Cricetulus griseus: one gene and its partners. The protein of the gene in region 1 interacts with the protein of each later gene in a pairwise test. Links are inferred from orthologs where the notes say so. Each region holds a gene or a part of one and is shown on either strand. Other genes may lie near its edges.

Region 1 (4,755 bases):
AATTCAAATACTTTACATTATCAGTATTTTGCCCGTTAGCAGTAGGTTTGTCTTCTAGAGCCAGTACAGTGTCAAGTCACCATAGTGGACACAGGAATGAGTACTCCAAAATAAAGTGAACTGTGTTGGGAAAGGACTTGTTCAGCTCTGAAGTTTACCAGTACAACCACACCTCCTGAGAGTCAGCGCCTGTCATCCTGCGTCATAAGCACTGAAAAAAAGGCACTACTATTTCATGTAATGCTGAGAACAGTGGAGTTCCCTGCCTCACAACAGCAACTTAATGAGGAGAAAAATCAAGACTTCGGGGATGCACCCTTTCTTCAAGAAACAATGCCTTTTCTTCCGTAATGAAAATGGAAGCATCCTAAATTTGCCTTAATACCAGGCTTATAGCTTCCATAATTAAAAAAGATGCCAGTTCTCTTCGGGCAGTAGTAAAAACAGGGCCAGTAAGCCCCGATATGGCCTGGTCTTTCAATTCCAGGGATGATTTCACGCTCCCGAAACGCATAACTAGAACGAAAACTTCACAATCTTCAACTTTAATGGTCATATTATGGACTACCTTGAACCTGCTTTAAAAAAAAAAAAACTTAAACATGGTGATCTACCTATCCTACTGGTTCTTTAGCGAAAACCTCAGTGTCCACAGAGTCAGGGGAAAGTTTTGGTGTATCCTGGGGCGGAAAAGGAGGGTGGAAAAAAGTCCAAATTCCCAGGCCCGGTAAAAGCAAAGCGCCCAATCGTCCCGAGCCAGGTAAGGCTGGGGTGTCGCGGCGTCCCCCCGAGGCCTCCCCGCCAGAAGGTCTAAGAATCTAGGGGCCACGTTTCTCCGCGGGTCCCTCCGCCCCAACAACCCACGTTTGTGGTTCGCAGCACTAGACACCCGACCGGCGAGAAGACCCAGGGAAGAACCGGCGGGCGGGGACCACGGGGTCCGGGCACTTCCCGCGCACGGACGGGGACCGGGGCTGATAGCCTGGGGCCTAGCCTCGCTCGACCACTCCTGTCACGGAACACAACGAAAGTGAATTCCCGGGGAGAGCGAGGCGCGGGGCCAGTCACCTGCGGTGTAGGTGTGAATCCCGAACTAGGGTCCCACGCCGCGCTCCTTAATGGCAACGAAGAGACTCGGCACAGCAGCCCCGGACGCCGAACCTCCTCAGCGTGCGCTTCGCTCAGCCCAGCGCGCATGCGGCCCCGCCTCTCACTGCGCAAGCGCCGACAGAAAAGGCCCTTCGTCACCACGACCATAGAGTCGTGGTCCTCCAAATGCGAGCGGTGTGAACCGCAGGGCGGCCTGAAAAATCCGCGTCCTCGGCGCTCGGTAGATTTTGCGGAGAGAACTTGCAGGGCTTAAAGAAGAGGACAGAGCCGGCTTCTTGCTCCAGAATGGTTACGTTTAAATTTTAGTCCACCGACAGACGGCGCTGTAACGAAAGACGGGAAGCCGAGGAAGGGGAGGGGCGTGATCTTCTGATTCGTCACTCGGAGCATGCTGCAACCTGCACCGGCGAGCCGCCGGCGGGAGGGGCTGTGGAGGGACCCGGAATTCCGGGCTGTGCGCGCCTCCACATCCGGGCGTCCCTCGCGTCCAGCCCTCTCCTCCCTCTCAGTCCTCTCGCAGTAGGAACCGGAAGTAGGGACCGGTATTCCGTAGCCTCTTAGCAACGCGAGAGGGTCAAGTGACACCGTCAGCTGACTCCCGTGGTGGAGGACGCTGTGGTAGCCAGTTCTGGCGGTGTTGCAGTCACGATTGCTCGGCTGGGGGCCCGAGCCGAACAGTCACCGTTAGGATGTCGGGCAAAGACCGGATTGAAATCTTCCCGTCGCGAATGTAAGTGAAAGAATAGGACAAGTGGCTCCAGGGTCAGGAACACCTTCCCGGAGCGCATCCCTGCGAGCCCTCGGCCGCCAGCGAGCTTCCCTGCTTTCTGGGCCGCTCAAGAGCTTCCCCCAGGGTCCTTCTGCCCCCTCGTCTGCTCCTCCTGAGGGAACAGACTGGGGAAAGTGTGGTTCCAGTCCAAACGAAAGAGGGTCCGCCTGCTGGGCTTTCCTCATTTTCCCCACACACAGTTTACATAACTGAGTCATCACCATCTTTGCCTCACAGTGCTGAGGGGAGACGGAGAAGCAAAGGTGGTTTTGACCAAAGCTGTCAGACGGAATGGAAGCGTATAGACAGCCCCTAAGCCGAAGTGGCATTGTATGAGTCGACCTAGCACAGCTGTCGGTTTTAATCTTGGATCCCGTCCAATGTCACCTGCCGTGGGAACAGACAGACCCGCGCTCCCGAAGCACCCCTTCAACCTCGTGATAACTGTATTCTTTTCTACCTCTAGCAGTGTCACTCAAGACGTTGTCAATCGGATATTTGTGTGGTGGGATCTTCTCTCCCACCAATCTATGAGCTATCTCCTGGATGAGGGAGGCATCTTTAAATGCATAGGAGGTCCACAGAAATGTTCCTTGAATCCCCGCCTTGGGATCAGCTCAGTTGCAGGCTGCCTTTCTGTTTTGGTCTGACAGCTTTGTCAGGGGAAAATGGCGTTTGTAAAGGAAATTTTGAAGTTTTCCTCAAATATGCATAATAACTTACAGATTGTTCTTATTTGTGTTCTCTTGTTTCTGAAAAAGGAAGTCAGTTTTTACTCTGATCTATAGGTCTTTTCATTGAGCTTCTGTATTGGGGTGGGTGGGGTATGTGTGTGACACTGTAATGTTTTCCTCATCCTTTTTCTTTCCTCCTCACAGACTCCGAAGACTCTTTAGTTATATTTAAACCTTAGACTGAATTTCTGTCTCTGCCAGGGCATGTGTAGTTCTGAATGAGTGAAAGACTTTTAATTATTATTATTATTTTGGTTTTTTTTTTTTTTGAGACAGGGTTTCTCTGTATTGCTTTGCAGGTTATCCTGGAACTCGCTCTGTAGACAAGGCTTTCCTCAAACTCACAGAGATCTGCTTGCCTCTGCCTCCCAAGTGCTGTGATTAAAGGCATGCACCACTAACGCCTGGCTTTAATAATTTTTTTAAAAACCCTTTTAGCCTTCACCTCACTGACTTTGAAATGGCAGATTGTACTAACTGTACAAATGGGCTAGTTGTGGAGAAATGCAAGGCCTGTGAAACAGATAAAGATCCAGACTTCCCTAGGGGGTGATTTCCAAACTCAACATGTAATGTAAGCTTTACTGAGACACCAACATGGCTTCTAGAAACCAGTGGCAGAGTTCTTGCCTAGCACACACAAGGCCCTGGGTTGAATCCTCCAACTCCTCAAAAGTAAAATTAACCATTGCTGCCTGAGGCAAACAAAACTCAAAGCTGACACAAGTAAATACTTGTGTCAGCTAACACCTGATCCTAGACCTCTCTTCCACAGAACATATATTAATGGGTATATCCAATTGGATATATATTTTGTATAAATCATGTGTCAGGGACCTAAGAGAACCCTTCTTTGAAAGGCAATGGACCAGAAGGATGATGTCTCTGTGTCTCTGTGGGAGACTAGAATCCTAATTTGTCTGTCATCAAGCAGATGCAGCTGACCCAGTCAGGGGTAGACTCACCAATCTTAGTGATTTTCATTTTTCATCTTCTTTAAAACACCCAGGCATATCTTCATGTACCAGAATGGAGCTCACTTTTTTTTGTTTTTTTGTTTTTTTTGCCTTGCTGTCAGTGGTCTCACTCTTTCAAATAATGTCTGGCCATATTTAATCACTATTCATAATGCTGATGCGTTTTTATTATCACTTTGGAACTTTTAATTTAGGACTAGGAGCTTCTTTGGGCTTAGGCAAGAAAAAGGATAGTTGTGTGAGGGTGAAAACTGTTATTTGAGAACATTCAGCTGGTCTAGAGGAAGTCGGGTGTAGGAAGTAAATATTTTTTCCACAGCTTGACAGCAGGTTATTTGTCATACAGTGAGATGTGTTTGATTCAGCAGGAGACAAAGTCACTATTTTAGCTGAAGGTCATACTTCTTGTTTCTTTGTTCTTTTCTTCTAAGGCTGAGCAGCTCTGTAACAGAAAGGAACAGGCTTAACAGCTCTAGGCTAGATCACACAGTACTGATTGTGACTCTATTTGCATACATTTGGTGCTGTTGTCTGTGGAATGTTGCTTTCATTCAGGTATCACTAGAGAAAATGAAACAAATTTAGGTGGAAACAAAGGAGGCCCAAAAGGCCTAGGGATGTGGCTCAGATGGTAGAGCACTTGGCCAAAATGCACAATGTCCTGGCTTTCAGCCACTAGTACCACATAAAACTGGGCATGGTGGCTTATGCTTTAAGGCCAACATTCAAGAAGCAGAGTCACGGTCATGAATTCAAAACCAGCCTGGGATAAATGAGACCCTGTCTCAAGCTGGGGGAAAAAAAAAGGCACAAAAACTTAGAGTTAATAAAAGTCAGGTAAAGTCTAGGTTCTTGTAAATGTTCGGACAAGTCACCCTTTTTTCCCTCTTCTTCCCTTTCTTTTTCTTTTTCTTTTTCTTTATTTTTTTTGTGGGATAGCCTTATGTATCCTAGGCTGGCCTCTAACTCACTATGTATATATCCCAGGCTGACCTTCAACTTCTAGTCTTCTTGCCTCTACCCCTCAAGTGCTGGGATTACAGGCATTCACTACTTCATATTCAGCTCATTTGCTCTTGAAGCTCAGTAACTGAAAACTTCCTATTCACAGAAGTACAGACATCTAGAGTGAACTCAAGTTTTAGTTTATTAGTCAGTTCATCTA
Region 2 (4,210 bases), on another chromosome or scaffold:
GAGACCTGCACACTCTCACTGTCCTTTTAACTCAGCTCCCCACAGTCCCGCGACAACAGTCTCATACCTTCTTCCCCTCGAAGTCGCTCAGCCTGTCCACGCTCAATCAAAGCCTCAGCCTCCTTCACAAACGCCACCAGACCCCCGAAGGGGGGAGACAGCAACTCTTCAATGAATTCCTAGAGAGAAGTGCAAGCTGGAACTGAGTCAGGGGTCCTGGGAACAAAGGACCCCAACATGGACTGGGAGGACTAGGAGGGGACACTCCACAGAGCAGCCGGCCTTGGGGAGGAGGGGAGAAGTGCTTGGTCCCCAGAACACAAAGTGGAAGAAGCAAGAAAGGAACCCAGTCCTGACATTGTCCTATGACCTCCATGTGTTTCACAACATGTGCCTGGGAGTGCGCTCACATATACGTACACACACACACACACACACACACACACACACACACACACACACACAAATAATGCCCTGCAAAGCAGGTGTAAACACACACATACATACATACTTATATACACACATACATACACCGTTATAGTTTTTTGCTTTTAAGTTATTAATTTATTGATAAATTAAATGAGACAGACTAGCAGCAGGCAGTGAGTTGTCACCATGACTGCACACTGAGGTCTCCCTGCCAAGCCCAGGCCCTACCTGTGTCCGCGCATTGAGCAGCTGCTGGAAACTCTCCACCTCTTTGCTGTCGTCAGCAGCCCGCTCCTAAGGAAGACAAAGAGTGAGGAACTTGGGAACAGCCTTCAGCCCAGCACCTCCTGTAATCGCACACCACACCGCAGACACTGCCAGAATCCAGGGCTAAAGCCCCCTTGGTGAGGCTGACGAGCATGGGCACGCCCCGTGGGGGAGGGCAGCATTACCATCAGCACACCCAGCATCATGTCGTAGTTGTTGATCAGAAACACGAGCTGCTCCTTCCTGGAGGAGAACTCCGCAGCCACTCGGAGGACAAAGTTCTCCACCTCCACCTGCAAAAGCCAAACAGAGAGCAAGTCAGAGACACAGGTCCCAGGGCCCCTCCCCATGCTGGGAAGCCTGCCCGCCCCGCCCGGCCCACCTGGAGCTGCCCCAGCAGCTGCAGGGTGCGCTCATTGGGGATGGTCTGGTTGATGCTGACAAGGGCAGACGAGAACTCGGCATAGCGGCGCGTGATCTAGGACCAAGGAGGGGAGACGCCCATCAGCCTGCCAGGCCGACATAACCTCCCAGCAGCCTCTGCAGCTCCTGTCCCCAGTCCCTCCTCCTGCAGTGGCCAGCCCACCGCTGCGTGTGACCCCGAGACCCCTTGTTATCCTCCCCCGCCCTCACATAGTGGGGCCGCGTGTCCAGTCCTCCGAGGCGCTGGGGGTCGGTGGTGCGGACACTCTGGACGTTCATCTCCAGGATCAGCTCAAACCGAGGCCACAGCAAGGCCAACACCTGCTCCCAGTACCTGCAGGGTCAGTCAGAACCAAAGGTCAGCAGGCTACGGGTGCTGGCAGGCCATGGGGGCACAGCACCCTTCAGGGGAATGTGAGCGGGTGTGTGTGTGCCTGTGTGTCCGTGTCTGTATGCACGGATGTGTGTGTGTGTGTGTGTGTGTGTGTGTGTGTGTGTGTGTGTGTGTGTGACAGGGATGCTGCCTTGGGGACACACACAGGATAAGGGTGAAGGACATCGGGTGAGGAGGAGCCAGGGGCAGGGTGGAGTTGTCGGTGTGAGATAAAAAGCTGGACCCAGCAGGCACCAGGACCAGAGCTCAGTGACCTGTCCAGAGCAGGGACATCCCTCTTCGATGCAATGCTGCGGAATCGGAGGACAATGTGGATACAGAGAAAAACAGCAATGGCGTCATAGCAGTCGGCCAGGTAGGACTCCAGGTGTTTCTGCGGCACAGCAGGCAGACAACTGAATGCTAGTTTGAAGTTCCAGTGGCTATGAGCAAATGGATGTGCACTTCTGGGGACAAGGCGCTGGCTAGGGAGACACCTCCTTCCTTGTCCAGGGGCCCTGACTTACTCACTGGCCTCAACTCTGTAAGCTCCTCACAGTTGAAGCCAGGGCTGAGCCTGGGATGGAGGTAAAGGATCGCGATTTAGAGGTCTTGCTCTCTGCTTGTGGAAACAGAGGAAGCAGCAGGTCCCCCGAGTTCTGAGGGTTTCCTAGGGGGCCATGTTGTGAGATAAAGGCTTGGACAACGTAGAACGGGACATCCTGCATTCAATACTGCCACTGTGACCCCACTGGACGTGGAGGAGCCCTGGGAAGGGAGAGTAAAAGCACAGAATCGGGGACTTACCAGAGTCATGGCGAGCGTGCGGCCCATGACAGCATGGAACAGGTCATGTGCAGCTGGGCCAGACACAACAAAAAATTCACAGATGAAAAGATACTCCCGGCAGGAATTGTCAAGGAGCGCGTAGTGCTGGCTGCGGAAGAGAGCTTCAAACGGATACTACGGGACAGAGAGAGGGGTGGATCCAACACTGACCCCGCAGATACGGGGGCTCAGTGTATCCCAGGAACCAGAGCTCGGAAGACCCCACACATACCTCACCTCCAGGAAGGGAGGGGCACCCTGGGGGCGCACAGGACACAAGGAAAGCCCACCCCACTGGCTGCGGCCATCCCCACATCCACTCCAGCTGCTGCCTCATGACAGCCACCCCACGACCAGTCTCCCTCTGCACCCTAAGCCCATGGCTCCTGTCCCCACAGCGCAGCAGGCGAATTGATCCCCAGCCACGGAGGGGGCCTCCTCATACCCTCTGCTCCCCACGCTGGGCAGTATGGGGCACCAGGATGGGGGCCTCCAGTTCGGTGGGGGAGATGACCGCACCACGGGTGCCCAGGGTGAAGATGGTGTTCCTGCTTCGGAGGGACGGCTTCGAGAAGAATCGTGAACAGCATCAGAGTCAGGGAAAACACTGAGAATGACCAAGCAGGCCATGAAGCCAAGACCTGAGCACTCTGGGAAGCTAAATATGAGCTGGACATCCCTTCCAGAACCAGGGCCTCGCTTCACCTGATACCTGTAATGGGCGTCAGGGATTCTACAAGCCCTCCGAAATCCACGTGAAAAACTGTCAGAATGATGTGAGCCTCTGGGAGGGGAGCTCTCGCTCTCTCTCACATCCTCAAAGGTTACATCCCAGACACAGGGTAAGCAGAGGCCTGTGGGCTGGAGCCAGGCATCCCCACTGTGAGCCTGACAGGAGGTGAGCCTGACTTGAGGGAGGTGAGCCTGACTTGAGGGAGGTGGAGCCTGACTTGAGGGAGGTGGAGCCTGACTTGAGGGAGGTGGAGCCTGACTTGAGGGAGGTGGAGCCTGACTTGAGGGAGGTGGAGCCTGACTTGAGGGAGGTGGAGTCTGACTTGAGGGAGGTGGAGTCTGACTTGAGGGAGGTGGAGCCTGACTTGAGGGAGGTGGAGCCTGACTTGAGGGAGGTGGAGCCTGACTTGAGGGAGGTGGAGCCTGACTTGAGGGAGGTGGAGCCTGACTTGAGGGAGGTGGAGCCTGACTTGAGGGAGGTGGAGCCTGACTTGAGGGAGGTGGAGCCTGATTTGAGGGAGGTGGAGCCTGACTTGAGGGAGGTGGAGCTTGACTTGAGAGGGGTGGAGCCTGACTTGAGGGAGGTGGAGCCTGACTTGAGGGAGGTGGAGCCTGACTTGAGGGAGGTGAACCTGACTTGAGGGAGGTGGAGCCTGACTTGAGGGAGGTGGAGCCTGAATTAGGGAGGTGGAGCCTGACTTGAGGGAGGTGGAGCCTGACTTGAGGGAGGTGGAGCCTGACATGAGGGAGGTGGAGCCTGACTTGAGGGAGGTGGAGCCTGACTTGAGGGAGGTGGAGCCTGACTTGAGGGAGGTGGAGCCTGACTTGAGGGAGGTGGAGCCTGACTTGAGGGAGGTGGAGCCTGACTTGAGGGAGGTGGAGTCTGACTTGAGGGAGGTGGAGTCTGACTTGAGGGAGGTGGAGCCTGACTTGAGGGAGGTGGAGCCTGACTTGAGGGAGGTGGAGCCTGACTTGAGGGAGGTGGAGCCTGACTTGAGGGAGGTGGAGCCTGACTTGAGGGAGGTGGAGCCTGACTTGAGGGAGGTGGAGCCTGACTTGAGGGAGGTGGAGCCTGACTTGAGGGAGGTGGAGCCTGACTTGAGGGAGGTGAGCCTGACGCGAGGCTCCCTGGTCCAGGATATCTTTCTTTGCTGTGTC
Region 3 (4,710 bases), on another chromosome or scaffold:
ATCTACCCAGGCCAGAACATGGCCTAGAGAGGCAAGGGTGGGGCCCGGTTGGGGGCTCCTGGCACCTAGGGGCTGGCATCACTGGGGGCCTCCCCAAGCTGTTGCTGGAATTCCAGTCGTGTCTGTCGGTTGGACTCCAGCAATTCCTGGAGGCGGGCATGGAGGTGGTCGTTCTTCTCCTCCAGGTGGTCCAGACAAGAATTGATCTGATCCAACATGGAGTTGATGGCAGCATACTCTGGGAGGAGGGAAAAGACAAAGGAAAGGTCCAGTGTCTCCTTAGGGCTGACAGACACAGTGCACCCAGTGTCCCAGCTCACCCTTGAGAGGAAAGGTCCAGTGTCTCCTTAGGGCTGACAGACAAGTGCACCCAATGTCCCAGCTCACAACTTTCTTATTCTCAGTGTCATCATGCAGGAAATTAACAGGTACTACAAGAGGCAAAGTGTCAAATCATCTTTAGCACATCTTTTTTGTAGGGTTAGTGTGGTGCTGGGGCAATCTGCCAGTGTCCTGGCTGGTGGCCCTATCATATGCCAAGCTTCCTCTGTGTTTCCTTCCACAGCTACCTAGAAGTCAGAACCCAGGTTCCAGAGCTGGGCAGTCAAAGGCTCTGTGCTAGGCATGTGACCTCCAGCCCTTTTGTGGCTCTCTCTGCCTTCCCAATAGTGCCCCGCAGCTTCTGGGCCCTGAAGCAGACCCAGCCCCTACTTCCCTCTTGATCCCCATCTCCCCTCCTACCTGCTCAGCCTATCTCGGGTCCTCTGAATACACTGGGTGCCCTGCTTGTCTTTCCCTCTGGGATGAATTCCACTTATTTCAAGTTTTGGTATGGATATCACCAAGGCCGTCCCACCCTGGATCAGGCCTTTGTCCTGGTCCTCTAGACACCACCTTCCACAGTTTTCCCATCAGGAGTCACTACTGTGACTATCTGGGTGCTGGCCTGTACTCAACCTCACACTCAACTAGAAAGATCTGGGAGAGGTGACGGGTCTTGTGTTCTCTGCTGTTTCCCCAGTGCCCTCGACAACACAGATAAGTACTTACTGAATGAATGAGTGAATGGATGAATGAATGAAGCTCTGACTTTCCAGTCCCTGCTCTTGCTCAACTGTCTACCATCTAGAATTCATCGACAACAGCCCTTCAAGGACCAGCTCAAAATACCTCCTCCTTGGAGTCTTCCCCCCTCTGAGAAGTCTTTCCTATTTTCCTCTACATCAGCTTCTGACATGCCTCTTGGCAATGCTATGTCCTTTAGGACCCAAGGTCTGGGTCTGTGCCCACTGCGGGACACAGTTCTGAGCCAGCCCATGACTCAGAAACACTTAGCTGCCAGCTTGGGACCAGTGGGGAAGTAGCTGGTGGATTTAAGAAAAAGGCCCAGGGAGGGTGTCTGGGATATGATTGCAAACGTGCCTGCCTTTGGGGGATGGTTCCCAGAGAAGGCATCCCTCAAGGAGGATAGAGCCTCTGAAGACTGCTGGGTCTTAAAGTCCATCCCTCATGGCACAGATTGAGAAACTGAAGCCTAAGAAAGAAGGAACCAGAACAGCTTCTCATAGCTACTTGGTGACAGGGCCAAAACTCAGACCTGAAGGTCAGAGACCCTTAGGTTTTAGTTCCAGATCTGCTGTACCCCAGCAACTCCTTATTGCAGTAGGGAACACCGAGGTAGGGTTCCAGTGCACCAAGAGCTCAGTTGGGGTCTGGCCACAGCAAGAATTTAATGCATAGCTGTTATGATCCATCCTTCCACGTCTTGCAGGCTAGCAGAGCGGTGAGGTGAGAAGCGGTGTCTCCAGACTAGGCTTCATCTATGTCAAGAGTACCTCCCAACCATTGCTCCTGTCCTGGGTCAGATAGCCTCCTCCCTCTGTCTACTCAGTGTTACACTGCCCCCTCACCAGGTCCCCTCATGATGTCCCCACCATGGCTGCCCACTGTAAGCCTAATGACCCAACCTGCCTCCAGTTGGAAGGCAGCCTTCATTAAGAGCAGAACCTGGGTGATGAAAATATTCTAAAACTGTTGTGATAATGGATATGCTGTGAATATATGAAAGTCTGCAGAACTGTACTGTTTAAATGGTAAACTCTATTGTGTGACATACAGCTCAATAAAGCTTTTATAACAGAACAAAAGCATACTCCATTCTTACTGCACAAGTCCTGCCCACTGGGTAAGGACCAGACTTGAAATGTGTGTGTGTGTGTGTGTGTGTGTGTGTGTGTGTGTGTGTGTGTGTGTGACTATCTATCCACTTTCAGAAGGAACTTGTATGCTGGAACAAATGGGAACAGTCATCCCATTTTCCCTTTAATCCAGACACATCTCCAAACAGTAGACACCAATGTACCCGATATTGCAGATGGGAAAACTGAGGCTCCAAAACGTGCAAAGGGAGTCTGTGGACTGACCCTTCCCCTGAAGTCCTTCCGCAGTGCTGTGCGCCCAACACAGTCCTTGGTAAGCGGGTCACACCAGCAAAGCCAGGTGGCTGGGTGCTGACTCAGCATATGGGGCGCCCACCAGGCCAACACCTGCAGGGCCAAGCAGAACCTGCTCCCCTTCAGCGAAGAAAGTGGCTGAAACAAATCCCAAACCGATAAAGCGTGTCTGAAGCCGCCTCAGTTTCCCCATATGTAACCTGGGCTGCTTAGCGACAGTTCCCCAGTATTGCGGCGTCCAGGGATGCGTTCACTAGTGCTCGCCATTGCCTCCGAGGTGGCTGTGGGGACAACTCCAGAACCACCCAGGGGAGGGGTGGGACGGCTCTTCAGTCCCTTACACAGCCTCCATCCCGGCCCCATTCCAGGACAGCACCCCGAGCAAAGCAGAGGTCACTTCAGCAGCACCCTCCCTCGCCCAGGTCACCTGCTTCCCCGAAGCTGTCATTCTCGCCTTCCGCGCCCGCATCCGCCGGCATGCCTAGGTCCCCGTTGGGGCCCGACATTGCGGGCTCGGGCGCCGCAGAGGCCACGGAAAGATGAAACTCAGCGACCGCCGCGCGGAAAGCGGGAGCTAGGCGGAAGGTGCAAGCAGCTGATGGAACGCCGTGCCGGAAGGGTGGAACGCAGCGGCGCACCGGGGCCGCCCAGAGCCCCGCCCAGAACCCCGCCCCGAATCCTCTCAAACCACGCCCTCAAGCAGGGCTCCGCTCCCGTCCGCTCTCGGGCTCCTCCTCTCGCTTCCGAACGGCGTCCCTCTCCGCTCCTGTCCCCCACCCGGCGATCAACGGAGCGAGCCAGGCAGTAAAGACCCTGGCCCGCTAGAGCTTGAGACTTCTATTTGATTCCGTCCTGCTGTTTCCGCTCCTCTGCGTGGTCAGAATCAGACAGGCGGTTTCAAAGGCTGCCTAGAGAACTCTGTTCTCAGCACCGCTCCTCCCCAGTCCCCGGGAATCCGCATTCTTCCCATCTCCCTGAGGTGCAGCCTAGATTACCCACGACCTCGTCCTATCTTGGCCAGTCTTGTTCCCATCACTTCTCTTAAGGCTCTCAAAGGCTACACTTAACGGGTGGAGATCAGACCAAATTCCAGCCTGGATAGTAGATATAGACCCAATGTGTTTGACCCGTGCCAACAAACAGGGAGGACATGCATTGGAGAGGAGTGTGAGGTCCTTCTCAAGGACTATGTCACTTTCCCAGTATGGAAAGGGTTTGCTGTATCCTGCTGTAGGTGCCCTCGGGGCCACGGAAAGTCTGTGCTAAGTGGCCCTGCTTGACACTGTCCATCAGAGAAGGCTTCATGATAAAGCCCTGCTTGGGGCATTCCCCACTCCACGCACTGGGTGGGAAAAGGCGGCCCATACAAAGTCACCAGCCAAAATCACTTGTAGATTGCACTCAGAAGTGTAATCCTGAGTCCAGCTCAGAGTCAGGGTGGTGTCTCAGGGAAGCTCACTTACCAGGACTCCTCTATCTGTAATAGCCAGGAGACCCCTTGGCACCAGCAGCTTGTTCCTGGTGTCACCTGGCTAGTCCTGAGTGCAGGCTATTCTCAGCATAGGGGCTTAATCTGGGAAAGGCAGGAAAGTGGATTCTTCCCCAGAACCCCAGAGGGAGCACAACCCCATGGACACCACAAAGCTAATTCAAACTAATTCAATCTGGAACTGGAAGAGAGTACATGCATACCGCTGTAACTGGCCATGTATTGCAACCTGTTCAATGCCAATGGGAAACTCATATCTGCATTAGCAGGAAGAGGAAACAAAGCCCTATTTGTGCCATAGAGTTTGATTTGAAGAGACCAACAGCAGCAAAGGTTATGGGAAACTGACTTCTTTAGTCCAACACAAGAAACTAGATCTAGGCTAGAGAGAGGGAACATACAGTGCACTTGCAGAGGACCCCAGTTCAATTCCCAGTATCCACATCAGCAGTTGACACCCACCTGTAGCACCATCTCCAAGGAAATCCAATGCCTCTGACCTCCTCAAGCACCTGCACTCATGTGCACATATCTATACACAGACAGACAGACAGACACACAGACACACAGACACACACATACCACACCACACACATTAAAAGAAAAAAATAAGAGAACTGGAGAGTTGGCTCAGAGTTTAAGAACACTGTTCTGAAGGACCTAGGTTCAATTCCCAGCATCTACATGGTAGCTCAATACTCTGTAACTTTAGCTCCTCCTTCTGGCCTCTAAGGGAACTGCATGTATGTGGTTCACATACACATAGGC

Evidence for each region.
Region 2: the proteins of Atp6v1d (region 1) and Vps52 interact in binary tests that used the Homo sapiens proteins (3 or more experiments, as listed by UniProt). The two-hybrid records come from large-scale screens. The link is inferred for Cricetulus griseus from reciprocal best matches to the Homo sapiens genes ATP6V1D and VPS52.
Region 3: the proteins of Atp6v1d (region 1) and CUNH9orf16 interact in binary tests that used the Homo sapiens proteins (3 or more experiments, as listed by UniProt). The two-hybrid records come from large-scale screens. The link is inferred for Cricetulus griseus from reciprocal best matches to the Homo sapiens genes ATP6V1D and BBLN.

Annotation. Positions count from the first base shown.
Region 1 is NC_048598.1:124,781,105-124,785,859, forward strand, and holds the start of Atp6v1d (V-type proton ATPase subunit D), read left to right. Parts: upstream 1-1,643; 5' UTR 1,644-1,799; coding exon 1,800-1,840; intron 1,841-4,755. UniProt on the Homo sapiens protein: Subunit of the V1 complex of vacuolar(H+)-ATPase (V-ATPase), a multisubunit enzyme composed of a peripheral complex (V1) that hydrolyzes ATP and a membrane integral complex (V0) that translocates protons.
Region 2 is NW_023276806.1:232,050,405-232,054,614, forward strand, and holds part of Vps52 (vacuolar protein sorting-associated protein 52 homolog), read right to left. Parts: coding exon 4,195-4,210; intron 2,900-4,194; coding exon 2,766-2,899; intron 2,456-2,765; coding exon 2,300-2,455; intron 1,887-2,299; coding exon 1,768-1,886; intron 1,454-1,767; coding exon 1,330-1,453; intron 1,175-1,329; coding exon 1,079-1,174; intron 990-1,078; coding exon 882-989; intron 724-881; coding exon 658-723; intron 180-657; coding exon 68-179; intron 1-67. UniProt on the Homo sapiens protein: Acts as a component of the GARP complex that is involved in retrograde transport from early and late endosomes to the trans-Golgi network (TGN).
Region 3 is NC_048599.1:144,112,012-144,116,721, forward strand, and holds the start of CUNH9orf16 (UPF0184 protein C9orf16 homolog), read right to left. Parts: upstream 3,071-4,710; 5' UTR 2,960-3,070; coding exon 2,881-2,959; intron 2,127-2,880; exon of another isoform or gene 1,793-2,126; coding exon of another isoform or gene 1,772-1,792; intron 432-1,771; coding exon 321-431; intron 239-320; coding exon 66-238; 3' UTR 1-65. UniProt on the Homo sapiens protein: Essential for intermediate filament organization in intestinal cells, interacts with intermediate filament and regulates intestinal lumen morphology.